Linked DNA regions of Canis lupus familiaris. The protein of the gene in region 2 purifies or fractionates together with the protein of the main gene of each other region. This does not show direct contact. Links are inferred from orthologs where the notes say so. Each region holds a gene or a part of one and is shown on either strand. Other genes may lie near its edges. The genes, in order: MAPK9 and DUSP10.

Region 1 (6,318 bases), on a different chromosome or scaffold from region 2:
TTCCAAAAACAGTAAAACACAAGATATGAATTTTTAACAGAATAAGCTCATGGGGCAAGCATTAGGAGCACAGGTAACCAAAAAAATGTGATCATTGTAACTCCATTTCTGCAGTGACACTTCAGTACTCAGTAGCTTAGTGAACTCTGAATAATTTCCACATCAGAAAGTCTGAAAGCATCAATTTCAGGTGAGCAGTTTTAAATCAGAAAGTACTCAATGGTTAATCACCACTCTTGAGGGCACTTCCTCCAAAAAAACCCCATGAGGAGGTTTCCCAGAAAATTCATGGGTTTCCCTTAGGAAAAGGGGATGCTCCACGAAGTGGAAAAAACCACCACCACCACCACACAGGCGTTTGGAATCACTTCGCTTCCTCGAACAGATCCAAGTGTGGGGAGGTTGGGGGTGGATGGATGGGGTTATGTGGCTTCTTTCAGCAAAGAAAGAAAAGCCAAATAAGAACATTAGGTTGGAAATTGGAAACGCTGTCCTGGGAGATGGTGCACCTCCCCAGGAATGAGGGAATGACCCTGACCAGGCTTGGGGAAAGCAAGCGCTCAGGAAGTCACCGCAGTCAGCTTCAGTGACCGTCTTGTCAAATTCTACTCTCACCGCTAATGGACTTGAGAATCTGCCATTGTGTTGTTGACATGAAGTGTTAGGTGCCTGATCAAGAAGGCGAAGTTTTAGGTGGGATTTTAAATTAATAAGTCCAGAAGACCAGGAAAAATGAGTGAGGGTAGATTAGGATTTTAAAGGTATATCTGTCTTAGGCAGCACAAAACTTAAAATTTTATCATGCAATAAAGATGAATGTACACTCATCCCAAATTCAGACAATTTAGAGGAAACAAAGTGTCCATATAAATGTCTAGATTTCAGCAGTGATAATTCTCAGCCCAAAACATGAAAATTTAAAAAAAAGTTGTATTTTTTTATTAAATAGATTTAATTATATTCCTTCTGAAATACAAAAGATAGAATAAATTGTATCATAAAAGGTAAGACGTGATAATATGATGGTGGCCAATTAACACATAAATCTATTTTTTCTGGACAGACACCAAATTACTTGAGAGGATTAAGAGATCATTCTAGAAGCAGCACTACCTGGAAGATTATTTGGCATTTAAATACTGATTTCCAAAGTGCTAGATGGCAAGTCTGAGCAAGCACATGTGGTCACATGCATGTAAGTCCCAACAGTTATGAGGATGAGAAATTGTCACTATGACCGCACAACTTAAAAAAAAAATTGTCTATTCTAATTGCTCACCTGAAATGACCTTGAACAAAATCTCTAAGAGTGTGGCTTGCACGTGTTTTCTCCAGACATAATCTGCTTCGTTGTAGAATCTAGGCAGGCAATCCTATTAGAACTGAGTAGGGGCAAGGCATCGTGTTTCTTACATGCAGAACATGGAGTTTTCTGTTTGGTTCCATCAACCCCCAAGCATTTCAGGCCCATGGAAGCGAGAGCTCCTTCACTGTTGACGAGCTTGTTACTTGTGACTTATCATCGGCAGCCTTCGAGGGGTCCCGTCGAGGCATCAAGGCTGCTGTCTGTGTCTGAGGCCAGCGTCTGCTCCGTGGACATGGATGAGATGTCGTTGATGGATGATGACCGGGAAGGAGTGGCATTGCTACTTACTGCTGCATCTGTGCTAAGAAAACCAAATATAATAAAATCTGAGGCACGACACTGCTGCAGGTTCGGGCAGTGAGACATGAGGCCTTTCTCAGCTCCATGCTTCTGTGGCCCCCCAGCCTAACTGCTCGTACTAACAACCCATGAGCCTGCTACACGTGCCCAACTTTTTCTGGAGTCTCTCTTTGGGTCCAGTATTCCAAAAATTTCTTGTCTGTCCCTACAACATTCTCCTTTTCTTCCTAGTGGCTAAACATCACATCTGTGCATGTGTATAATGTTTGAAAAATATGCTTCTTTAAAAAAGATATTAATAGAAAATTGCTGCATCTATCCTACAAATATAGGTGTCACAAAAGGCTGAAGCCCAAATAGGGTTCAACGGTCATCAGACATTTCAGCTATAATCATCAACACTTTGTCCAAGGGAAAAAACAGGAACCTTTGAAGAATTCTTTTGTAATATAAATGGAGTGGAAAGAAATCAGAGAGGGAGACAAACCATAAGAGGCTCTTAACTCTAGGAAACAAAACTGAGGGTTGCTGGAGGGGAAGTGGGTGAGGGGATGGGGTAACTGGGTGATACACATTAAGGAGGGCACGTGATGTGATGAAGCACTGGGTGTTGTATGCAACTGATGAATTATTAACTCTACATCTGAAACTAATGATGTACTATATGTTGGCTAACTGAATTTAAATTAAAAAAAAAACTGTTAAAGACTGTATACAAACAAAAAAAAAAGGAAAAAATTTAGTGGCCTCTTGTTCATTTTATTTTTGTTTTCTACATCCCCAATACTGATGTTTTTTTTTTTTTTTTTTTTTTTTTTTCCAATACTGATGTTTTGATTTCTGAAGTACACAAAACCATGCCATTACCGACTGTCCATATTTTAGGCTGGTTTGAGCAAAAATAAAACAGTCGAGCTCTTGGAGGCCAGTGCTTGCATTCTTAAATTTGTGCCTGATTAACCACAGCACCTAAATCTGTGCTAAAGTTACATAATCTCTAGATGCTTGACACATATGTCATGCTGAATATAAAATTCAAGAATGAGTACACGGTGCAATCTGCACTTCTGTGTGCGTGTGCTCCTGTGGGGGTGGAGGTGGGGGGTGGCAGAGGATGTGAAGTGAGAAGATAAATACAACTCAAAGGAGTTCACTTAGGAAGCAGGTGGGATCCTACTGACACATGTGTTAGGTCTCTAACAGTCACACGGTGTGAACAGATTCCCAGGCAGACCAAGTACAAATACAGGAGAATCACATGAATGATTTTCTCAAAAGAAAACCAAATTCCATTTTGCTTAGATTCATGCTAATTTTCTTTAATCACTGTGTGTATGTGTGTGTGTGTGTGTGTGTGTGTGTGTGTGTGTGGTGGTACAAAGAGGGTCACACAAATTGGTAACATTTTAAATCAGCTCCCTCATCTGTAAACTGAGCTGACAGCAGCAGGGACAAGTGCAGAGCAGGGATGTCTATAACACAGTTTAGTGCCTGTTACATCAGTAACCCGTTAGCTGCTGCTACCACGACACACTGAGACAGGAAGACCATCTACCTCGGGGAGCTTTCAGGCCCAGTGCTGGTCAAGCCAGCATTTAGCGCACTGCTACCAGTTTGGAAATGGGGTTGAGGGGGTGCTAAGATCAAACTATTAAAGCAATCACTAACCTGAAGGCTGATCTTTCACAACACCATTCTTGCTTCTTTCTTCCCAATCCAGCACTTCTTTATAAATCAGTTCTTCAAATGGAAATGCAAGTTAAAAGGCTTCATCAGTTTCTTTGTGTCTCTGAACCCTGCTTTCTAATCAATCAGAACCACTCCAAGGGCACTGTGATGCCTTATTTTTAATTATGGTATACAGTTAATTCAATAATATCATCTGGTTAACTCAATAGTATCACCTACAAAAACCAAAACACCCACGTCTTTAACTCAACTGTTAGGGCAGCCAAAAACGTAGGCAGTTCTGAACCCACAGGGGGTTTTATAAGGGGCTGGAGACCAGCAAAAGGGCTCTCACAGAGCATTTCAGAGTACTGGATGCTTTCACACTGTTTGCACATGTTTCTCTCCATTGTTACTTGGGATTCTCCAAAAGGAACTGATATCTATCTATGGGTGAGAAGCCCCTCCAGACTGGCCAGAAATTAATCCAAGTTCCTCAGTCATTTCTTGGCTTCAACCTCCATTTCCTTGATTCTGATTTGTGAGAAAAGCTAACAACATACTAAGGAAGCATTAGGGGTTCTTAAAATTTTGGCCTTTGTGAATCAAGATGAGAACACTGCAAACATTTCTGGAGGCCTATGAGCCAACCGTTGGCCACAGGCTGTGCCTGTGTGTGTCGGCCTGCTGAGCATGTGTTCATGCAGGTCATGGCACTCTGGACGCCCCGGAGCAAGGAAACATTATCTGCTTGGGCAGGGCACATTGCCACCTTTGACCTGCACTGACCATGGTTCTCAACTACTACTGATTCTGCTTCTTAATGGAAAATTGTTATTTGACCTCCTGATTATGGGTTTAGTTTATTGTGGGTTGTTTGGTTTATCTTACAGTCTTCAGAAGCAAACAATATGCAATCCATACCTGCTCCTCACTAATTGTTATCTGCAAGTTTCTTCTGTGCTAGGGATTGTGAAGAGATGGGCTGAGAGGGGCTGCATGGTCCCTAGCTCCTACCCTAGGAAGGCTACTGCTGAGAGTAAAGTGCCGCAAGCGAGTGGCAAAATCAGCTCTGTTCTTTACCTTTCCACTCTTCAATTGCATGCTCTCTTTCTTCCAACTGGGCATCGTAAATCTGAGGTGGTGGCTGAAAATTAAATTACATATGAAGTCAACAGTTAAAACCATAACGAGGCATGAAGACACTAAAATCACCAGGGAGAGTCTAATCTATGTATCATGTGGCTTTCATTTCATATGTAGCTTTTTAAAGATTTCTTTATAAGTGTGATATTACATCATTTTCAGAATCAAAATAATTAGAGGGAAATTAGCCCCCCCCAAAATGGAGCTATTATGGTCCTCTTAATTATAACATGACCTCAAGACACCCTAAAGGCATCTGTCCAAATGTAACTATAAAATCAGTAATTTGAGCCACTTCCTAGAGACCAGTCCTGGATAAGGACATGCCAGCTCAGGTTTACAGTTCATGTTAGAGCCCCTGTACCCAATCCGCAGCTCACATTGGGCCATCCCAAAAATTTCCTTAAAAATCACATGCTTATTATAAATGGGACTTTCATATGAAACGTTATGTTTCTGTGGTGGTTAAATCTACAGGCCAAAAAAAAAAAAAAAAAAACTAAAAAAAAAAAAAAAAAATCTACAGGCCAGCCCTAAAATGAGCCCACCCCTATGCCAGTTATCTCGCTTACAGCCAGAGATCACCCATGCTGGTGCTGCTAAGGGAAAATGCGCCTGAACACTGAGCTCGGAAGTGGAACTCGCCCAGCAAGTGCCTCTGGGAAAGGATAAATAAACTTGTGCTTTTCAGCAAGTTTCTTAAGCCTCTCTGAGGGGGTGGCTTAACCAAGGTGTTATAGGCAAAGCACATGGCACCTTGCCAGGTACACGATGGAGGCTTAGTAAACCGTGTTATTACACTCATACATCAGCATCTGCATAAAGGAAGACAATGCTATCACCACAGCAGAAGCATGTCCACCCCTAAAGTACACTGAGCGACAGCCCCAGAGCAAAGGTCCCAGAAGCAGGCCAGGTCTTGGACAACCCCTGGCCTCTTTGTATTCGGGAGTCCTCTGAAATCTAGAACTTGCTATCCTTACTGAGGCCATTCTGGAACGACAGAAGATCCAAGGAAGCGGACTCCCTGCCTTTACACACGAGTCTTTCCGAAACAGATGCTTACCGCTTCAGCTTCAGCAGGGTCATACCAAACAGTAATGTAAGGGTGACGTAAAGCTTCATCTACAGAGATCCGCTTGTCAGGATCTATCACTAACATTTTTGACAACAAATCTCTGGCTTGACTCGCTAGGATGAAAACAAATATCAGATTAATTAATAAATTAATGCTGAAACATAGAAAATCACAGAGAAAATGTGACAGTACAGATAGAACAAAGATGTATTAAAACTTGACATTTTTGATAGGTTCTGGATCAGCTGAGGCTTTTTCTTTAAGAATAAGCCAAGGAGGCACTTTCACTACAAATCTGGTCTTCCAACTCAGGTTTCTTGCCTCTGGAACTGGGAGGGGAGGAGTGGCAGGGCCTGGGAAAAGGGTACCAGGTGGACACAGGCCAGCCAGAGGCTGACATGGTGCCCGGGGAATGCTGCCACCAGGGCAGGCAGGGGAGCTGAGATAAGGATGGCGCTGCCTGGAGTGCAGGCACAGAGCATGAGCAAGGCTTTTCTCTTGATGGCCCATCAAAACAAAATTAGAACAGGCTTTTTAAGCCATAAAACAATCTCACATTTGCACACCATAGAATACTTTACAGATACCTCCGCTATGACCACAGCTATATATAATGTTGGAAACAGACACTTAAAAAAAAATCTAGAGGTTAGTTGCTAGAAAAAAACCAACAAGCTCAGTAACTTAGTCAAATGTAAGGCTCACATAGGTTTAGGCAATTAAAGTTCACATGGGTAGGCAAAGGAGAGACAGAGCTTTT
Region 2 (6,912 bases):
GTGCGAAAGACGATTTCCCATAAAAAGCACTGGTACCTGGAGGTTTACTTGTCGTTCACCATAATTGCTGCTTCCTCCGCTCCATCAACTTTGGTGAAATCTGAGACACAATAACTTTCCAACCGGTTATTGATTGGAACAGAGCCACCAGACCAGCTATGGCTTGAGATACCGTCTGGCGGTACACCGCCTCTCCAAAAGGCCCAACAACGGTCTCAGAGAGGTGGAAGGCTGGCGCAGGGCAAACAAGACGCTGACTCGAGACTAGAACCCAGGTCTTCCGGCTTTGGGTTCAACGTGACTGTTTTTTTCTCACTACAGCAAAAACAGTTAAGGGCAAAGAAGGGAAGGCGAGAAGAAGAAAGTTCTGGACTGGTCTCGTGCCGCCAGGGTAAGGAGAGCGCTGGCATTTCTAGAACAGAACCCAAAGTGAACCCGGGCTAACCAGGACTGTGCTTGGGAAGGGAACAGGGGCATTACCTTTCAACACCAGAGGTTCCTTGCCTTCTCTCTTCAGGGACTCGAGGACTATGTGGAGTGGCTGGGAGGGCATCACTCGGCTCGGCTCATTGGTATTCTCATCATAAACTATAATTTCTTTGGAAAAGATCCTCTTGAAAGAGTCCTTGCCTTCCCTACAGGAAATCAAGTCTAGAACCGTGATCTTGCCCTGCTGCAGTCTCCGCCGGCTGATCTTATCGGCACAATTAATGTGGACAGCTCCTTGGATGTGACTCTTGTTATACTCCATGAAGGGCCTGCAGTCAATGATGACAGGGCCCTGGCTCGGCAGGGGACTCTTGCTGCATTTGGTCATCTTCTTCGCCAAGTCATTGGGGTAGATTATTTTGATGCTGGCTAGCTGCTTGGGGGTCCCTGCCACGGGGCTGCCCACCCCACCTGATGGACTTAAAGGGCCTGCACTGTCAGTGTTGTTGACCATCTGGTTGGCAGGGCAGGTGGCAGAGGTTCCGAGGGCGGTGGTGGCGGTGCCAGCGGCGATGGCTTGGGTTTGGGCCTGATTGTCCTTGTCGTAGGTTGCCACAGTACAGCAGCTGGCAGTGCTGCATCCACAATTCAGGGCGCGGGCAGAGCCGCTGGATGAGGGCATATACGTCAGATTCGCAGCCTTGAGGGATACGACGGTGGTCGCAATGACGGGAGGGGGGCTGTCACTGCCCGGGGTGGCCGAGCCAAGGTAGCTAGAGTCTAAACAAAGGTTGAGATCCTGAGGTCGGACGGGCCTAGACAGTGCCACTACTACCCTGTCGTCTAAAGGAGACGGAGGCATGAGGAGGCTGAAAACTGGCAACTGAAGAACTCAAGACAGTCTGTAAAGAAGGGGAGGGGGAAAGAAAGAATAAAGTCATGTGACACACAAGGCAGTCTGATCCAAACCCTAGGAAAGGCCTTTGCATCCCTCTGAGTGAAGTTGTCCTAAGGGCCCTTTATCAAGCCGCTCTCCAAGCCCGAAACTCATTTTTTTTTTTTTTTTTTTTACAGATTCCAAGAGGATGTCAACCCGAGGGCCCCCCTCCTCTTTGGTCACTAAGTCCAAGGTTACACGTACAGCCCACACAGTTGATGAACCACCTTCTCACGGACGTACTACGTGGAAGCTCAGCCTTGGAGAAAGGACAAGCACAAAGAATGGGAAAAGCCGAAGACAGAAAAGAAGGCTCCTAAGAGGCATCTATTCTGGGCCTCACCTCCTGGGCAGAAGCATAGTGCAACCGTCTGAGCAAGACCCACTTGTCCACCCGTGCATACTTTCCGTTTAATTCCTTCACTCACTGCAAAGGCAAAGGAATGACCAAGAGCGCTGGCCCGGCTCACCAAAATATACAGCAGCTAAATATACATCAGGGGCGGATGGCAACTTTCTGCAAATCAGAATGAGAGTATCCCCCTAAGTGAATCTCTTGAACGGGGAGCTATTCTTGCTTTGCATTCCTTTGAAAAGCACGACAGAGTCATATGAAAACCTCCCGTGTTTCCTGTTAGTCTCTTATAAATTAATTCTGCATTTCCCCTTTTGTTACAAACGAAATGTCCTGAAACAAAGCCTCAGGCTAAGGAGCCAGGCTGGTAACCCCCAACCCTGGCAGACCCATCGCCCTTTGCTGCCCACCTCATCCCCCCCCCCCCCCAAACACACACAAACACATACACACACTCCTGCCTTTAAGGAAAGGACCACATCGACTCTGCTACCTCCTTCGTTTCCCTGCTGACAGAGGCCGGGCATCCCAGAGGGATGGGAGGCAGCCCCGTGGATAAGATCTCAATCCCCCACAGATAGACCCCCGCCCCTCCAAGAGGATGAATTCCGTAGAAAGGACTTCCCAATGAGCCGGTCCCTGTTAAAGGGGGCAGTGAAGTGTTGCCCACAGGGTCCACCTCCTGCCTCAGGAGAGGGAGCCTGCAAAGGACCAGTTCCCTCCTTCCATAGGCACAGGGGCACTCTACCACCCGACCCTACCAGCTCCTTTTCTATTAGACACGCACCGAGAAAAGAAACCAAACCCCATGCAAGAGCCGCTCGTCTAAAGGAACTTTAAGAGATGTCTGGAAAAATGTCATCTATCATCCGTCTACACACGACCGTCACCATTCTCTGACACCGAGCCAAAGTGTCACAGGCAGAGTCCACACGCGGGCGCGCACACACACACACGCAGACACACAGAGACACGCACCCGACTTGTTCCCAGATCCCCACCGACTCAGGTTTCTCTCCTCCACTTTTGGATGGGAGAGAAGGGTTCATCCCTGGCCCTCCGGCCCTCCCACTCTCCCTCCCTCCTTTGCGTAGTATTTTTTTTTTTTTTTTTTTTTGAAGAGCAAGTACTATTCCAGAAGCTAGAACTGTTTCCCAGCTGGACCAAGCGGTGAAAGTCTCTGCTATTGTGTTACCAGGTAGGGTATGTCCCAGGATCAACAGCCCATTTCCTTGGTGAGGGACGCATAAGCGTGTTCATGGAGACACAGGCTGGGACCCCCACCTCTACGCGGAGTGCGCGGCTCACACACACACACACACACACACACACACACACACACACACACACACGCCGGAGTGTAGAAAGAGATCTGCATCCCTGCAGCAGAGGGTCGGGCGTCTATATTGCCCATGAAAGCATCCAGACCGGCCCAGGAAACCTCCCAGAGAAACACTAAGCTGCCCCCTCTCCCTTGCTGGCCGTCCTTCCACCTCTTAGGCAGGGGCTGGAAAGAAAATTAAGTCGTTAGAGAATGCTACTTCCCCACTCCTGGGCGCTCATCCCCCTTCGCAACACAGCGCACTAACAAGCCCCTGGCATTTAAAACTGCCGCAAAGCATCCCAACAAACCTCATTTTCTTTCTTCTCCCCAAATCCAAGTCGACTGCGGAGAGAGTCAACGCACAGGGCAGCGTGAGCCAACAGCAGGAACCCTATACCCTCACCTGCTGCGGCTCCCCCGTGAGCATCGCATCACACACACACACACACTCACACTCACACTCACACTCACACCGCCTTACACTCCCAGGCTCTCCAGAGGAGCCGCGCTGACTTCCACTTACTTCATAAATAAGTGTAGCCCTCCACCATCTGGCGCTCCGCTTCAGCTAAGGATTCGCCCATTCAGCCCCCATTCACTTGGCTTCATTGATCTCCAGCAGCAACATAGTTACTTTCTCTTTTGCTACACTGTAAATGTAAGGTTCTGAGGGGGCGGGCCGGCTGCCGAGCGACGGCACGTCGGGCCAATAGGAAGCCGGAGAAAGCCGACCGCTACCTCGCCGCGGCCCGCGGCCAATGGGCAGCGGGCGGGGCGGGGCCGGGGGCGGGGCCTCGTCTCTTTAAGGAGGGCTTATCCGACGCCGCTCCGGGTCCTCGGTGTTAGAACGCGGGCGGTGATGTCATTGGCAACCAATCAAAAACTTAAAAGGGCCAGCCGGGGCCCGCGCGGAGCAGCTGCTCTCTATTTACATGTAAACCGAACCGGCTGGATGCAGTTAACCCTTTCCGGGGCCGAAGTGTCAATGGGCCGGATCGCTGCTCCGGCTCAAACCGGCTGGGTCCCTGGGCCCGGAGCCCCCCGCGTGCCCCTGCCCCGGGGGTGCGGATCGCGTCTTCTCTTTCCCTCCTACTCGGGACCAAGGATCGGAAGAGTCGGAGTAACTTTCCGAGGGCGGGCCCCGCGAGCAGTCTCCGTCCCCGGCGGGGAGCCGGCTCGCCCAGGCGCTCCAGGTGCTTCGACAGACCCTAACCCGAGATCCGCGGCCGTCGCCGGGCAGCCTGCGGCGGGAGCGGCGGGAGCGGCGGGAGCGGCGGGAGCGGCGGGAGCGGCGGGAGCGGCGGGAGCGCGCAGCCCGGGAGCCGCTCCTGCACCGGGGCCCCGCGAGCGCCCACCACGCGCTGGGGGCGCCGGGGGCCGGGAAGCCGGGCCCGCCCAGCCGCGCTGCTCCCCGCGTCCTCCGCCCGCAGATGTCGCTGCCCCTCCGGGTGCCACCCCGCGCGGCAGCGGCGCGCTCCGGCCCGCCTGCAGCTGCGCGCGGTCACGCCCCCGCCGACCCCGCCGGCCTCCCGGGGCTCGGCCCGCCGCCCGGAGGGCTGCTCAGAGGCGGCGGCCTGGGGCCCGGCCAGAAGCTGCAGGGAGCGCGCGCAGTAGCCGGGCGGTCGCGGGGCTCGCCGTGCGCGCAGGGTCCCCGCCCCCCAGCGCGGCCCCGGGGCGAACGCAGGCCCGCGGGCCCCGCGCTCCTGGGACACCGCCGCGGGCGGAGAAGCAGCCGGAGCGGAGGGTAAACCACCCGCCCAGGTCGACGGGGCGGCGCCGCCGCTCTGGGTTTTCCAGACTTTTTTTTCCCGAGGAAGAGCCTGGGGGTGGGGCGGGGGTGGGGGCGAGGCAGGCTGGCTTGCGCCTGGAAAATCTCAGAGAAACTGCGGGAAAGTTGTCTTGGGGTACGCAGAGGGGTGGAGATGCTACCTGCGGGGAGCCTGCATCAAAGGACCCTAAAGAAATAAGAGCTTTTTCCTCTTCCCTCGCCTGCAGGCGCAAAGGAGTTTGATAAGGACAGTAGAGTCTTACATGAGGAGCACTATAGGATACTCGGCTATGAGTTTTCTCTCTTACTAGATTGAAGGTGTTTGGAGACATGCTTCGGGCTCCACGCCTGTCTGAGTAAGTAAGCTAAGTGGCAGCGACATATTCGTATAATTGCTTTAAGTGCAGATCTGAAATCAGGAGTTGCCAAAGGATGGCCACGCTCAAAGAGCTACTAAGAGAAATCCCCTTCTGTTGGGGAGGGAGGGGGTATGTATACTTTTTTACACATGTGCATGCACATACACAGTTCAGCTTCCGCACCCGTGTTTTCCACGTGCAGGAAATGCATACAATCATCTTTAAAAAAGGAAAGGGTTTTGGGGAGCCCCTTCTGCGTTCACACACCAATGCACATCCACGTTCCCTTCCTTAATGATAACTAATGAGTACTTAGGACACAGCCTTTGGTCCAAATGCCTTGCGGATCATCAGTAGGCCCTGGCCAAGGAATAATTTGGAATCTGAGTAATTTCATAGAAACCAGAAAAGAAGTTCCCAGAGGGTGTACCCTGGGTCTATTTGGAGCTTTAATAGCTTGCCTTTCCCTAACCATAGAAAATTATCGAAAAAATGTTCACTAATTCGGGATTAGAAAATTCTGGAGATAAATCCTGATTCTGACTCTCATCTGTAGTGTCTGTTCATCCAGAGACATTGTTCATTTATCTGCAAAATGGTAACACCCAGCCCAGAAGAAAAAGGGAAAAGTCCTGGTGTGTGTGTGTGTGGGGGGGGGGGGGGGGTCGGGAGGGGACACCATGATGACGCTGCTGATAAAAGGCATTCAGTCAAAAAGCATTGTCCTTGCTTCCAGAAACTGGGTGCCTCTGTGTAAAAGCACTTGTGATCTCTAGATTATGAATTCATGGCTAATGCTTCACTATCTAAGCCCAAACAAAGTAGGGATTTATACAATTGCAGAAGAGTTTATAACAGCTTTCCCACAGACCCAGGAGGGGAATGTCACTTGAGAAACAAATTTAACTCATTTAATGAGATGATTATTTTATTATGCTTTCAAGCTAGTGGGTTATCATAATTTAGTTGACTAAGAGTCGAAGCCATCCAAGCTGAAAAATTAGGAAAAATGGCAACATTCCTCATCATTTATCAAACGTGAAACATGGAAAAATTACCAGATCATTAACATATATAAACATGTAATTTTTTGTTAATTAAGCATCTCTAAAGGTATAACTTATGTTCAAATCATAGAGTGGTAGAAAACAAATTACAGATGGATATTTTTTTCAGTTGCTACACTTCTGAGCTTTTTTTGTACAAAAAGAGGTGATTTTGTTTTGTTTTGTTTTGTTTTTTTGAGTCATAAATGTGAAAACACTATCTGAAGTACTGCCCTTAGATTGAAATTTGTAATACCAGCCAGCCAATGGCTATGAACCTGATCTCTCTACAAATAGCCAGCAAAGCCTTAATGTTCAATTTTAGTCCCGAAGAAACAGCAAAGCATCTTCATTGTATCTGAGTGTTCTATCATGATTATGCTGAGCCATAACTTTGTTCCAACAAACATCCTAAGGAAAATACTGTTTTGATGCAACGCACTATGTGTTAAATCCAAAAGATGAAGATAATTTAGGCCAACATATAAGATATAATTTAGGCCAACAATTGAGAAATATATTAATTAAATGACTTCCTTCACGTGCATGATGGCAGAAGGTAGGATGGCTAGGGGAGCTGGGTTTTCAAAATAATCCTCAAGGTCAAGGTGGATTCTTGGAGGTACTAGAATTAAGGCAGAGAAAGGCTGAAAGGAAACTTAGAAATAATAAACCACAGGTTGTAAAGGTGATA

Evidence for each region.
Region 1: the proteins of DUSP10 (region 2) and MAPK9 purify together in Homo sapiens (affinity purification with mass spectrometry; 3 studies listed by BioGRID and IntAct, with this or other methods). This does not show direct contact. The link is inferred for Canis lupus familiaris from reciprocal best matches to the Homo sapiens genes DUSP10 and MAPK9.

Annotation. Positions count from the first base shown.
Region 1 is NC_049232.1:1,735,238-1,741,555, reverse strand, and holds part of MAPK9 (mitogen-activated protein kinase 9), read right to left. Parts: intron 5,672-6,318; coding exon 5,547-5,671; intron 4,482-5,546; coding exon 4,418-4,481; intron 3,407-4,417; coding exon 3,335-3,406; intron 1,668-3,334; coding exon of another isoform or gene 1,663-1,667; coding exon 1,520-1,662; 3' UTR 1-1,519. UniProt on the Homo sapiens protein: Serine/threonine-protein kinase involved in various processes such as cell proliferation, differentiation, migration, transformation and programmed cell death.
Region 2 is NC_049259.1:16,924,374-16,931,285, forward strand, and holds the start of DUSP10 (dual specificity protein phosphatase 10), read right to left. Parts: upstream 3,728-6,912; 5' UTR 3,569-3,727; intron 1,332-3,568; 5' UTR 1,292-1,331; coding exon 481-1,291; intron 1-480. UniProt on the Homo sapiens protein: Protein phosphatase involved in the inactivation of MAP kinases. Has a specificity for the MAPK11/MAPK12/MAPK13/MAPK14 subfamily. It preferably dephosphorylates p38.